3 linked regions of the Sus scrofa genome follow. The protein of the gene in region 2 purifies or fractionates together with the protein of the main gene of each other region. This does not show direct contact. Links are inferred from orthologs where the notes say so. Each region holds a gene or a part of one and is shown on either strand. Other genes may lie near its edges.

Region 1 (4,567 bases), on a different chromosome or scaffold from region 2:
AGCCTGGAACCTCCATATGCCATGGATGTGGTCTTAAAACGCAAAATAAATAAATAAATAAGGAAAGAGGACAATCGATGTAGCCTGAAAGCACATATGGAGCCAAGAATGACTCCTAGATTTCTAGTTTAGAAAAACGAGTGAACATGGTATCATTTACTGAGATATCTCCCTACTTCAGTGAACGAGAGGTATTTAAACAAAACAAAACTTTGGGAGGTTAGAACATACAGAGAATTTGTATTGGATATATTGAGTCTTAAATGCATGTAGGACACCCAGGGAACAACTAATGGGGTTATCAGAACAACTGCAGTATGTGGTTGGATATAGTTTTGTAGGAAATAGATATGGGAGACATGCATTTAGAGTCATCAAATAGCAGATGGTAGTTGACAGCAGGAAAATAGATGAGATCAAACAGAAAGACTATAGAGAAAAGAGTGCTAATAGGAGTTCCCGTTGTGGCCCAGCAGGTTAAGAACACAACATATTGTCTATGAGAATGCAGGTTCAATCCCTGGCCTCATGCAGTGGGTTAAGGATCTGGTGTAACTGCAAGCTGCAACATAAGTTACAGATGCCGCTTAGATCCAGTGTTGCTGCAGCTGTGGTGCAGGCCTGGGAACTTCCATGTCCCACAGTGCAATCATGAAAAAAAAAAAAAAAAAAAAAAAAAGGGAGTGCTAACAGCAGAAAACATTGGAACAAAACTTATCCCTGAGAGACAGAGGAAAAGGAGGCCATACATTTAAACAGTAACATCTTACTTTTTTCAGAAATCTAATTGCCACGGTCACTTAAGAAAAAGAAAAAAAAATTAAGGAGAAAAAGACTTGATGGCTTGAATTTGAAATCTAGCTCTAATAATTGCTATCCTTTTGACTTTGTGACTCTGTTTCTTAATAAACAGTGATAATATTTGGTCCATTCTATATCATGGAGATACTATGTGAATGAATAAGCTGCAATGAAAAAGTCATGACAATTAAAAACTACTATTAGGTAATTCTCCATGGGTAAGTGTTTTTGCTTTTGTTTTTGTTTTTGTCTTTTTTGTCTTTTTTAGGGCCACACCCACAGCATATGGAGGTTCCCAGCCTAGGGGTCTAATCAGAGCTGTAGCTGCCAGCCTACACCACAGCCACAGCAACGCCAGATCTGAGCTGCATCTGCGACCTTCACCACAGCTCACGGCAATGCCGGATCCTTAACCCATTAGGCGAGGCCAGGGATTGAACCTCATGGTTCCTAGTCGGATTCATTTCTTCTGCACCAGGACAGGAACTCCTAAGTTTTTTTTTTTATTATTCCTTCTCTTAAAATGGCTACAAATGAATCAAAGGTAACATAAGCTCTGTTGATGAAAGAGACTATAAATAAATCCAAGATAGTATTATTTTTATCAACAAGTATCATACTGGAAGAGAGAAAAGGGAAGAGAAGTATTAATCAGCAAATTCTATATTAAAGCAGGGGGAAGGGGGAAACACCCTGAGCTTTACATGGAGCCTGAAAGATGAAATAGGTACATCAACTTCCTGTGTGAACACCTGCCTTCATCTTCTTAAGAAAGGTAAATGTTACTTTACAAAATGTTTACCCAAGTATGATTGCAACACTCATGCCAAGGGGGAAAAAATCATACACACAAAAAGAGGATGATTCAGTTAAGACAAGCATGGTGCTGTTATTTATAACCTCTTATGTATGTAACTGAGGAAGACTAAATGTCAGTGTCTTGGTATGGCTAACAAGTGGAGAGGGACACAACTGCACTGCACAAAGAAAGGAAATTAAATATCCCATGGGCTTAAAATCAGTTGTGGCTGTGTGCTAAGTTTTCAAACAATTTAAGAAATTGGAAAGCAACTATTCCAATTGACAGTTCAAATGCAGTAGTGGTACAAGCCCACTTTTCTATTCACAGTAGGTTACCAAAAAAAAAAAAAAAAAAATTGAACAAACACCCTGCCTAGGCCTGGTTGAGGAAAGGTTGTAGGTGTGTTGAAGGACAGCAGACATCAACATCTCTCCCTTCTGTTGCGGCAGGAAACTGGTTTACATGATTCTATTCTCAGGTTTACAGGGGAAAAAAAAAAAAAAAGCTATGCAAATGGAACATTAAATTATCTTCAAATTTTGGCTTCATTCTTGCACATTTATATTTTGCAGACGTTGTGGTCGATTCCTGGGATTTCTGATTGAACTAACGAATTGGGGACTGGATGATCAACATGAAAAGGGTCCCATCTCCAGAATGGCCTATGGTTTCACTTCTAAGAAAGACACAAACTGCTTTTTCGAGCAACTGGCCTTCCTTGCATAAAATCTGAACAAATGACTTTTCATCCGAGGGCAGTTTGGGGTCAAAACATAGAAGACAACAGAAACTGAGACAAATCCACAGGTCAAGTACTCCATCAAGGAAAGAGGCTTTTGAGAAGCAAAGCAGTGAGTGTAGGGAAGTGATCAGAAAGTTACCATCCGGCGGGACCCTTCTTTCCCGCCGCAGAGGCAATCCCCTGGGGGTGCTGGTGGGGGAGGAGCTTCAGGGCGCCGCTGAGGTAAAGTGGGACCTGCAGACGGCCCTCCCCTCGGACCCGCATCTGGCGGGTCTGCGGCGAAGCCCCCAGTCCTTTTAACCGCCTCTCTGTAGGAGAAGCGCTCTAATCAGCCACGGAGTGTCTCCACAAGGGCCCGGGTTGAGGGGATCGGAACTAGGACGCGCGCGGCTGGGGAGGGAGAGCACGTGAGATGCCGGCCTGGCCCTACCTGCCCAGCTCCCGCAGGGCCGGGATCATAGACGCCAACTCCAGACCATGCTCGCCCATGCTGAGGACGTGCACCACCGGTCAACTACACCCAGGCGGGCTCCTGGCGTCTCCACAGCCACCTCCGATGAGAAAGCGCGGCGCCCGACGGTGCCTCGCGGGGCCCAAAACTCCTCCCGGAAGCCGTGCGGGCCCGCTCGCCAGGTCCTAGTTCTTTTCTGCGTAGGACCCGGGGGAGGCCGGGAGGCCGAAGTGGGTGGGGAGAGTGGGCGGGGCAAGGGACGCGGCGCGGCGGAGGGTCAAGTTTCCCCAGTTGGGTTCGCTCTGAGATAGGCAGCTTGGTAAGTGGCCAGGCAAAAATCGTGAGAGTTTTGGTTTTTAGTTGCTCTGCTCTGTCACTCCCAAGCTTGGGAGGCTCAGAGAACCCAGACCCCGGGTCCTGGGAGGAAAGGGGCGTGGCGGGCACTAGCCCAGAATCCCTCTCATGACAAATGTGAAAAATGAGACAATTCAGCATCTAGAGCCCCAAGATCAGATCCAGGTCTCCCCAAAGACGCCCCCAGGTTCTTCATTTTCTTACTGTTCTCTTGACGGGTGTCTGAGAGGTATGGCGCAAAAGGTGGGCTCCTCCTTGTCCCAGCGGATATTTTTTCCCCTCAAATTGAAGTCTGCATTAGGTTTCCTTGAGGATACTCTCAAGTTTTTTCCTTTCTTTTCTTTTTTTTTTTTTTTTTTTTTTTTTGGTATGGCCGCAACCGCGACAGACGGAAGTCCCCTAACCAGGGGTCAGATCCGAACGCAGCTGCAGCATCGTTGGATCCTTTAACCCTCTGTGGCAGGCTGGTGACTGAACTCTCGCCTCCATAGTGACCGGAGCTACTGCATTCGGATTCTCAACCCATTGTGCCACAGCGGGAACTTATCAACCTTTAATATTTAAGAAGAGGGTTAAATTGTGTTTATTTGTGGCTCATCAAGTGAGCGACAGTATTGTGTGTATTTATGTCACCTTTACCTTTGGCGTCTATTACCTGTGATTTAATTTTTAAGTAAATCAGTGGATTTTGGCTGTAGACATTTTGTAGCTCAACCTAGTTTTTTTTATACGAAAAATGGTCATCATAAGAGGCTGTTAACATGTCAAAGTTATGTTTAATCAGGCAAGGCCAGGCAGTGTATTTACCTTTGTTCCCTAACACAGGAGAATAATTGTTACACAGTATCTTAAGAAAAAAAAAAAAAAAGGAGGGAGTTTCTGTTGTGGCTCAGGGGTAGCAAACCCTGCTAGTGTCCATGAGCACCCAGTGGGTTAAGAATCCCTGGCTTCACTCAGTGGGTTAAGAATCCCGTGTTGGCGCAAGCTGAGGTGTAGATGGCATACGCCTCTTGGATCTGACCTAGCTGTGGTGGAGGCCAGCAGCATATGGAGGTCTGACTTGACCCCTAGGCTGGGAACCTCCATATGCCCTGGATGTGGCCCTAAAAAGACAAAAAAAAAAAAAAAAAGAAGCGGAGTGACAGCCAAATAGGCTCCTGTCTCAGGGATTTCGCGTTTGCTAAACCCTCTGCCTTGACCTTAAATATCCCTCTTAAATACCCTTCTTTCATCACTTCTCTTCAGATGTTTGCTGAAATGTCACCAGAAAGCCTCATATGGACTAGCACACTTGCACTCATACTCTCTCCCCCTCCATCCTTGCTTTATTTTCCTTCATAGCACATAGAATCAAGTTATATATTAAATACTATTTTTTTGACTGTCTCTTCCAATTAGAATATAAGCTCCTTGAGAG
Region 2 (4,668 bases):
CATGCCATCTATTGTTTATGATCAACATATAGCCACTATCCACAGGCATGTCAAGGAAAATGCCAGACTTCCTATGGAGAAGATCCTACACAAAAACTGGATGTTTTCTGGCTTTAAATGTTGCTAAATAAGAAAAAAGAGAAAGGAAAGAGGTTCAGAAAAGAGGCTGATCTAAACTTGTTATTTCAGTTTCACTCAAGCATTATAAGAGCCAAAATAAAGAAGAAATATTTGAAAATTGTTCTATTATGGCAAATAATTTAAATACCACAATTAACTTTAACATAACCTAACATCTGTAGTGCTCTATAGTTTTTAAATAATTTTTATCTAACTCAATCCTCATAATTCAAGAAAGAGAACAAGACAAGTATAATTTTAGTTTATGGCTGAATGAACTAAAACTGAGAGATTTAAGTGACTTGCTTAGAGTCACCCAATATAGGAGGCATGCTGAGAACCAACTCCAAATCCAGTGTTTTTTTCATTTTTATGTTTGCCTCTTGATGATGCTGTAAGTCAACAAGTATTAAGAAAAGCAATTTCAATGGGGAAACAGTGTATTATAGACAGTTTAAAAAAATACCAACTGTAAAAAAAAAAAAAAAAACTTAGAAGTTTAAATTTGTTGTCTGATTCTATTATTTTAGTAAATTGAAAAATGATACCATATGTTGTTAAGCAACACTAGAAACAAACTAAACAAAGCTCTAGTTAAAAATCATCACTCTAACCAAGTAAGATATACACTTAGGAAAATACATACTACCAATTTTACATTTTGTTCCTTTTTTCAAAAATGCATTTCAGTGGTAGAAAAAAGTAATCTTTGCTGCTCTGTTTTTGGAAACAAGAGTCAAATAAGACAAACATTTTTCACATAAATGAATTACTGAAAAAACTTAGTGGCACATTTTTCATTACATTTTGTTCCTTTTTTCAAAAATGCATTTCAGTGGTAGAAAAAAGTAATCTTTGCTGCTCTGTTTTTGGAAACAAGAGTCAAATAAGACAAACATTTTTCACATAAATGAATTATTGAAAAAACTTAGTGGCACATTTTTCATTATTTTAAAATAAACTGTAAAATCACTGCTATTTACCTGAGGAGCAATACGATTAACAATATGGGAAATCTCATCACTATCTGTGGTGTAAATCTGTTTTTTTCTTCCTTTACCTAAAGAAACAAAGACATTTCTATAAATTATTTAAAAATCTAATTTTTAAAAATAGAGGTCATTTCTTAGAAAATAATTTTAATGAGCATGGCTTAAATCACTACTCACTCTGACATCACATGCATATTGTAACAACATGATCATTCAAGATTCTCATAAAACATCTGCTATATAAAAGTTCCCAATGTTATTACCTGACTGAAATTCTGTAGTTAAATCCTAACCACTGATCAAATATTCACCCAGAAAAAAAATGTTAATAACAAATTACCTAACTGTTTTGTCATTGGAGAATTCTGATCCCAAAAGATATCATTCAGTCCATCTGGATCATTAGGAGAACTGAAGGTAGATGACAATAAATCCACTTGCAGCATTCTCTTAGGTGTTTCATACATTTCTACAGAAGAGCAGAACAACTGTTGCATTTTAAAGCATTATTTTACTGCATAACACCCAATGTTAAATAATAGCTTACACTCAATAACTTATTGTCCAATTTAAAATTTTCTCCCAGAAATATTACCCTAACCACAATTGATATTATTTGTTTCACATAAAAATCCCTGTAATTCACAAATTTAACTGTAAATAGCAAATATTTTAAGATAATCTAGTAGCTCTATACATGGACAATACTGGATAACCTGTATTACCACTGGAACTTGGAGGCTAGGGGAACTACCTGCAACTTACAGATACAACTCAAAAATCAAAAGCATTCCAACAGACACTTTAGTGAAAGTATATGTGTAGCCTCCTTTCACCAACTCTATCTAACTTACACTGATTATGTCAAAAAGCTTTGGTGATCCATTTCTTGGGAAGTTTTGTCTAGTATCACTTTTTTTTGTTTACTCTGCAATTACTTTGTCAAAGTAAACTAAAAACAAAAAGGTAACAGAGGCTGTGCTTTAAGACCACGCTCTAGAAAAGAGCTTTTATATGAGTTTCAGTTCTTCCCAGGATTAGAAATCTTTAAAAAATGTAACACCAAAAATGGTTCACAATGAAATATTCAGGGGCCCTTAGTTTCCTACTTTGAGGGACCTTATACAAAGGAACTTCCGGTTTATTCCTAACGATGTGATACATCACCAAGGCTTTGAGGATACAGACAGCTATAGCTTTCCTAAGGCCCCTTCTGTAAATCAAGTCAGGGCAAAATGTTTAGAGGGAAATAATTTCTCTAGGAATACGCTGAAGGCAACAGGTATTATTTCCCCTCTCTCAGCCACTGCTGATGCCTGAAGGAGCAGCCTAGCAATTAGCCTTCCTCCCTCCAACAGGTAAACCCCCACGATCTATTCCTGTGGCAGGGGCAACACGTGGGCTGTACAACCTAACCAGGCAGTGCTCAAACTGGGGGACCAAAGCCGTGGGGGAGTGGTGTTGGGTTAATTTGGGACTCACGCGGGAGAAACCCAGAGAAAGAAAACACGAGGTCAGACTCCACCCCCACCCCTACCCGGCGTTTCCCTGTTAGGAACGGGGTTGTGAAGCTGAGTCGCAGAGGCACTGAGAGGCCGCGCTGCCCACGTCTCACCCTCGGGGTTACTTTTACTGCACGAAGCGGCTGCTGGAGGTTGCTCTTGCTGCGGCAGAGGCCGGGTAGGCCTCTCTCTAGCCCCGCGGGGCCCCGAGCCGTGGGCCGACCTCAGCCGCCTCTTCCCCGGCTCGACCACCGAGCTGCATTCCTCAGTTGCCGTCGCTTTGCGCGGCGTGTTCTTCAGGCCAGGACTGTCCCCATGTTTTCTTCGCCGACTCATTGCCTAGGACCCCCTCTGCTAGCCGCGTCTCCTTTCACATTTTACAATGGGAGGAGTAAGGCAATGGAACTACAAGCGGGACTCTGCGCCAATGGCCGCCGCCATTTTGGCTGTTGAGACGCTCGCAAGGGGCGGGCGCTGATTGGCTGCGTCCGGCGAGGGGCGGGGCGTCCAGGGTGCCGAAGGCGCGATGCAGAAGGCGCGCTTCCGCAGCCCACCTCCGAGCCGGCTCTGCTCTGCCCCGACCGGTCTGGGTAGGAAGTAGTTGTTAAGAGGTAGTGCTTTGGCTCTGTGGGGCTGAGAGGGGGAGCATGTGAGGTGGAAAGAAGTTTGAATCCACTGGTATCTTTTTATTGAATTTACAGTTGGAATTACACATTACTCGGATTTATGTTATTGTGAGTTGTAGTTTTTTCAAGAAGAGGAAATGAAAGGTATAGTTTAGGAAGGAAGGCATAAAACTGGCAGATGATATGTGCATAGAAAAATCAAAAATGGAAGTTATTAAATTAATAAACAGAGTTGCTGATACAAAGTCATATTCAAAGATCAATTGTATTTCAATAGATTAGTAGCAAATATAACACTGACGTTTTGAAGAAATGATTTGTAATAGCATACAAGAGATCAATTAACTATGAATAAATTTAACTAGATTGCAATATCCATGCAGAGAGAATTATGAAATATTTTCAAAGGAATTGAAAACCTAAATAAATGGAGAATTATACTGTGTTCATAGGTTGCAGGTTTCAATATTGTTAGGATGTCAGTTCTTCACAAAATGATCTATAGATTCAAAGCAAATCCAAAGTCATAGTAGAGATGTGTGTGTGTGTTATTTTAAAATGGACATGGAAATGGGAAGGGCTGAAAATGACCAAGAAACTCTTAAAGATCTCCTGAAGAGCACTGAAGATGGGTTTCTACCAGATGGTTAAGACAGTGTGGTAATGGTGAAAGGATAGGTAAAAGAAGCAGAATAAATAGCTTAGAAACAGACAACGACATAAATGTACAGTTGATTTAGGACAAAGATGACCTTTCTGAACAGTGGGCAAAGGACTTTTTTTTTTTTTTTTGTCTTTTTGCCTTTTCTAGGGTCGCTCCTGTGGCATATGGAGGTTCTCAGGCTGGGGGTCCAATCAGAGCTGCCGGCCTACGCCAGAGCCACAGCAACGCGGAATCCGCGCTGCGTCTGCAACCTACACCACAGCTCACGGCAACGCAGGATTCCCAACCCACTGAGAAAGGCCAGTGATCAAACCTTCAACCTCATGGTTCCTAGTCAGATTCGTTAACCACTGTGCCACAACGGGAGCTCCATGAGCAGTGGGCAAAGGACTTTTTGATAATAAATTGTGCTTAGTCAATTTGATATACACGTGGAAAAAGAAGTTTAATCTCTGCCTGAAAACATATCCTTAAATTGAGTGCAAATTGATTGTATATTGAATTGTAAAAGATAAAATAACATTTTATAAGGTGATATCAATTGTTTTATTACAGAGAATGAGTTTTAAATGGAACAAAAAAGTCACCAACTATAAAGAAAATAATTACGAACTTGGCTACATTAATTGATAACTTGAGAAATTCTGTCTATCCAAAGACAACATTAAAGAGAATGAAAGGCAAGGCACAGATTGGGAGAAGATATTTGCAATATGCAAAATTAAGGGCCTATATATAAATATATGAAGAACTGATGTAATTTG
Region 3 (4,603 bases), on a different chromosome or scaffold from region 2:
AAGTGAGACTAGGAGTTCTTGTTGTGGTGTAGCCAAAACAAATCCGACTAGGAACCAGGAGGTTGCAGGTTCGATCCCTGGCCTTGCTCAGTGGGTTAAGGATCTGGCGTTGCTGTGAGCTGTGGTGTAGGTTGCAGATGCAGCTCAGATCCTGTGTTGCTGTGGCTGTGGCTGGCAGCTGTACCTCTGGTTGGACCCCTAGCCTGGGAACCTCCATATGCTGTGGGTATGGCCCTGAAAAGCAAAAAAAAAAAAAAGTGATACTAAAAAAGTTCAACATCTCCAAAGTCCCAAAGTAACCCCACCCTGATTCAAACACAACTGCTTACATCTGTGTCAACCCACTGGCGGACATCCATGGGTGCAGCTGTCATGTCATCTATTTTGTAAACAATGTTGGTTGCAGCCTTCTCTGCATGTCTGATTATCCCCACAATAGTCACCTAGACAAGAAGAAAAATAAGTTTGGTTTTCTTAGAAACCAAAGCAACATGAATCTATTTTTAAATGAAGTAAGTTTTATTTCATTCTTCATATGATTGAGTGACTCTTCCACAAATTATTTTACATACCTGTGAAATCTCAACATTCCCAATTTTGAACACTTCATCAACCAGAGTAGCAGAAAGCAGCTGAGATATGGTACAGGGTACAATGTGCTGAGCTCGGGCTCTCTGAAAAAAGTATGCATAAATTCAATTAAGAAAATAATAACTACTGTCCCTTAACACCTCCTATATGCCCAGCACTTTACGGATATTGTAACACTAATCTTCAAAAGAAACCTCATTGTCCCTACTTCACAGAGAAGAAAACCAAGGTTATATAGTTAACCAACGCCATATTCTAAATTTCAAAACCACGTCTGTCTGACTCCAAAGCTCCTGATGACTGGATAAGTTTGTGCTATACTAGGGATCACCAAAATGAGTCAGCCAGAGTGTGGACAGCAAAGGAACATGACCTGCTTCTGGAAGAGACTTTGAAAAGGCAACTCCAGCTTTAGGATGAAGGCAAGCTTGAGCTGGCTTTTCATCACTGATGAGAAGAGATAGTATTTGGAAGGAATTTGGGAAATGGCCAGCAAAGACAGAACTCTGAAGCTCTTCTAAGTTAAAGTATAACAAAAAGTTGGAGGTATATAGCTTTAGGTAGATGTTCTGACAATCCCATGTGAGTATGAGGAAAATGGGATAAGGGCCTGGCCACACGGGACATCTTAAAGGAAAGGGACAGGATGTGACGGGCAGAAGAGGACACCTAAATCACACCCAGAAGCAGCCTAACCATGTATACTCTTATGTTTGTCTCCCACTGGCCAGGGTTTGTTTGGGGGAAATAAAGATGAGTAAAATGGAACAGGATTTGCCCTCAACACATGCTACAAATGTAAATAACAAGCCTGATCTTGAAACACTATAGAATGTGGGATCTTGGAAAAATTTATTGGCAATTTCAAGAAGAGGGAGCATTTAGGCTGGACCCTGAAGCACGAAAATTTTGACAGTGAAAAAATAGTGAGTGAAGAATGTGCATTACAGGAGTTCCCGTTATGGCTCAGTGGTTAATGAATCTGACTAGCATCCATGAGGACGCAGGTTCAATCTCTGGCCTTGCTCAGTGGGCTAACTGCTGAAGCATACTTTTGAACGGTGAATATTGCCAGGATGGTAGAAAGTAAGCCCAGTCAACTACCAGCACACATGTCACAAAAGGTGGCAGCCAGCTGGTGGGCTGAGATTATGGCTCGACCACTCAGGAGCAGTGTGCTCTTGATCACATTTCTTTTTTTCCTTTCTGTTTTTTTTTTTGCTCTGCTTTTTAGGGCCGTACCCACGGCATATGGAGGTTCCCAGGCTAGGGGTCAAGTCGGAGCTATAGCCGATGGCCTACACCACAGCTCACAGCAACATCAGATCCTTAACCCACTGAGCGAGGCCAGGGATCGAACCTGCATCCTCATGGATCCTAGTCGGATTCATTTCTGCAGCGCCAGAATGGGAACTACCCCTGGGGCCATTTATTGAAAGCAACTCTGGGGCAGGCATAACTATATGTAATGTTATTAATCTCACAACAACCTTGTAAGATATGTATCATTAATCCCATTTAGTGGGTGCAAAACTGATTCCCAGTTTTGTAATTGTCCAATGATACCCTGCAAGCAGTGTCAGAGCAATAGTGGAACATAGATCTACTAGACTCCAAAGACCAGGCTCTTTCCACCTTATCAGATGACCTCATTACATTTCATTTAAAAATGACTTCCAGTATGTGAAGAATGTAAAATAGGCTACACATACAAGTTCGGTTTTTCCCACAAGACTAATTCATTAGTTATATTGGTAACTTTCAAAATAAAGCCAAGGAAACAATGTATGCAAAATTAGGAGACGTTTGATTTTTCAAACTTACAAGCACGTCCAGTTTACCACCCTTCCTTCCCCGCCTAAATTTTCTCACAGATGCGTTAGGAGCTTCAGCAGAGGTTAAAATAAAAAGAAATGCGCTTGCAACCTACAGATTTCTTTTCAGCCTGGGAAGGTGTCGGTGATCCAAAGCCCCCAGGGGACTGTGTGTAGCCGCCGGCTCCCCCAAAGGAGGAGCTGCTATAGCTTTCAAATCCACCTGGTTTTAAACAACAGCAGTATTAATACTTGTGCCACCCTCCAAGCCTCTGAAAAATCCGCAAGTCCCCCCAGACTTCACCCCAACCACTCCCAGAGTCTCCCTAACCTTCCCACCATCTTCCCTACGACCCGCACGCCCCCATCACCGGCCCTCGCCCGCCCCCTGCCGCCACACGCCTCCCCGGGCCCTCCCTTGCTAAATCCTTCTTGCGATTCTCATCAGGCGCCCCACTCATCATTACTATTCCACATCTTGGTCACTATTCCCTCAGTGTAGAGCTCCAGAAGGCTCCGGTCCGGTGGGTTAGCCGAACCCCCTCAGGACTCCGCTGTTGCAGCTGCGCTGTATCTACTTTTCGCTGGAGCCACAAACTCCTTCCCGCGAAGGACGGAGCCAATCAGAGTCCAGAGCGTTTCTCCCCTCAGCCAATCAATGCTTAAGAATCCCACGCCTTTTCCCGCCTTCCCGCGCCGAGCTCCGGAGAATGCGCACTTCGCTCCGGGAAGATCCGAAGCCTCTGCAGCCATCGTTACTTAGGGCAAAATAGGCTGCGGCTGCGGAAGGGAGACCTGAGAGATGCAAAGATAGGCCAGTGTCTCAAGAAAATAACCAATCAAGGAGTTCACTTGTGGCCCAGCAGGTTAAGGATCCGGAGATGGCTTGAGTCGGATCCCTCACCCGAGATGCTGTGGGCGGTTGCCCAAAAAGTAAAAGATGAGAACCAATCTGGATGATACTTCCACATCTCAGGCCGTTTAATCCCACCCCCGGCAACTGACTGACACTTTACATCACTTCCTTTGTTCCGTGTCTTGTTTCGTCCAAAACCTTACCAATCGAGTGATGCCTCCTAAAGCGTTATAGTAGTAGGACTTGCCATTAGCACAATATATACACATACGGGGAGCTCAATGTAGTAATTTCATTGCACCTCGTGGGGTTGCGTATTCTTTTCCATAAAGAGCCAGGTTCAGTTCTGGTATTGCCATCCCGTCGTCCTGATTCTCCGCAGAGAAGCTGTGAGAAGCCTACAGTCTTTTTCCCAGAATGGCAAAAGATCTGAGGATGACATCCCCCCAACCTTTCTGTCCCCACCCCAGTCTAGTCCGGATCCGTATCCTCGGTTGCTTCAACTATTCTTCATGTAATACGGTTGTGTCCCTCTTACGTTTTTCTTTTCTTTTTTGTGGTCTTTTGTCCTTTTAGGGCCGCACCCGCGGCATGTGGAGGTTCCCAGGCTAGGGGGTCTAATCAGAGCGTCTGCAGCCTACACCACAGCTCACAGCAACGCCTGATCCTTAACCCACTGAGCAAGGCCAGGGATCGAACCCACAACCTCATGGCTCCTAGTCGGATTTATTTCTGCTGCTCCAGGACGGGAACTCCGTGTCCCTCCTATGGAGAGTGGAACATGTCTGTCAGTTCTTTGCTCTAAATACTACTACACTGTTAGGAACAGATCCTCATTTATAATTTAAAAATATTTATTGATATCTCTTGTTCCAAGCTTTGTGCTGGCCACTGGGATTCAGTGGCAAATAACGAAGACATGGTCCCTGGGTTTCTGGGCCATTGCATTTCCTTTTGCTAAAACTGCAGACACTTTCTTCTCTCTCTCTCTGTCTTTTTTTTTTTTTTTTTTGTCTTTTGTCTTTTTAGGGCCGCACCTGTGGCATATGGATGTTCCCAGGCTAAAGGTCCAATCGGAGCTGTGGCTGCTGGCCTACACACCACAGCCACGGCAATGCCAGATCGAGCCATGTCCATGACCTACACCACAGCTCATGGCAACGCCAGATCCTTAACGCACTGAGTGAGGCCAGGGATCGAACCGAAACCTCATAGTTCCTAGTTGGATTCCCTTTCTGCTGTGCCATGAAGGGAACTCCATGCAGGTATTGTCTTAAACATTTTACATTTTCTAACACAATCCTATGAGGTAGGTAAGTACTGCTGTTGTCCCTGTTTTTAC

Evidence for each region. The genes of interacting proteins can lie anywhere in the genome.
Region 1: the proteins of ETAA1 (region 2) and ATR purify together in Homo sapiens (affinity purification with western blotting; 3 studies listed by BioGRID, with this or other methods). This does not show direct contact. The link is inferred for Sus scrofa from reciprocal best matches to the Homo sapiens genes ETAA1 and ATR.
Region 3: the proteins of ETAA1 (region 2) and RPA2 purify together in Homo sapiens (affinity purification with western blotting; 4 studies listed by BioGRID, with this or other methods). This does not show direct contact. The link is inferred for Sus scrofa from reciprocal best matches to the Homo sapiens genes ETAA1 and RPA2.

The regions. Positions count from the first base shown.
Region 1 is NC_010455.5:83,286,998-83,291,564, forward strand, and holds the start of ATR (serine/threonine-protein kinase ATR), read right to left. Parts: upstream 2,990-4,567; 5' UTR 2,835-2,989; coding exon 2,776-2,834; intron 1-2,775. UniProt on the Homo sapiens protein: Serine/threonine protein kinase which activates checkpoint signaling upon genotoxic stresses such as ionizing radiation (IR), ultraviolet light (UV), or DNA replication stalling, thereby acting as a DNA damage sensor.
Region 2 is NC_010445.4:74,733,694-74,738,361, forward strand, and holds the start of ETAA1 (ewing's tumor-associated antigen 1), read right to left. Parts: upstream 3,091-4,668; 5' UTR 2,951-3,090; coding exon 2,650-2,950; intron 1,588-2,649; exon of another isoform or gene 1,582-1,587; coding exon 1,453-1,581; intron 1,181-1,452; coding exon 1,104-1,180; exon of another isoform or gene 1-1,103. UniProt on the Homo sapiens protein: Replication stress response protein that accumulates at DNA damage sites and promotes replication fork progression and integrity.
Region 3 is NC_010448.4:85,042,911-85,047,513, forward strand, and holds the start of RPA2 (replication protein A 32 kDa subunit), read right to left. Parts: upstream 2,990-4,603; 5' UTR 2,883-2,989; coding exon 2,873-2,882; intron 2,629-2,872; coding exon 2,522-2,628; intron 675-2,521; coding exon 573-674; intron 444-572; coding exon 330-443; intron 1-329. UniProt on the Homo sapiens protein: As part of the heterotrimeric replication protein A complex (RPA/RP-A), binds and stabilizes single-stranded DNA intermediates that form during DNA replication or upon DNA stress.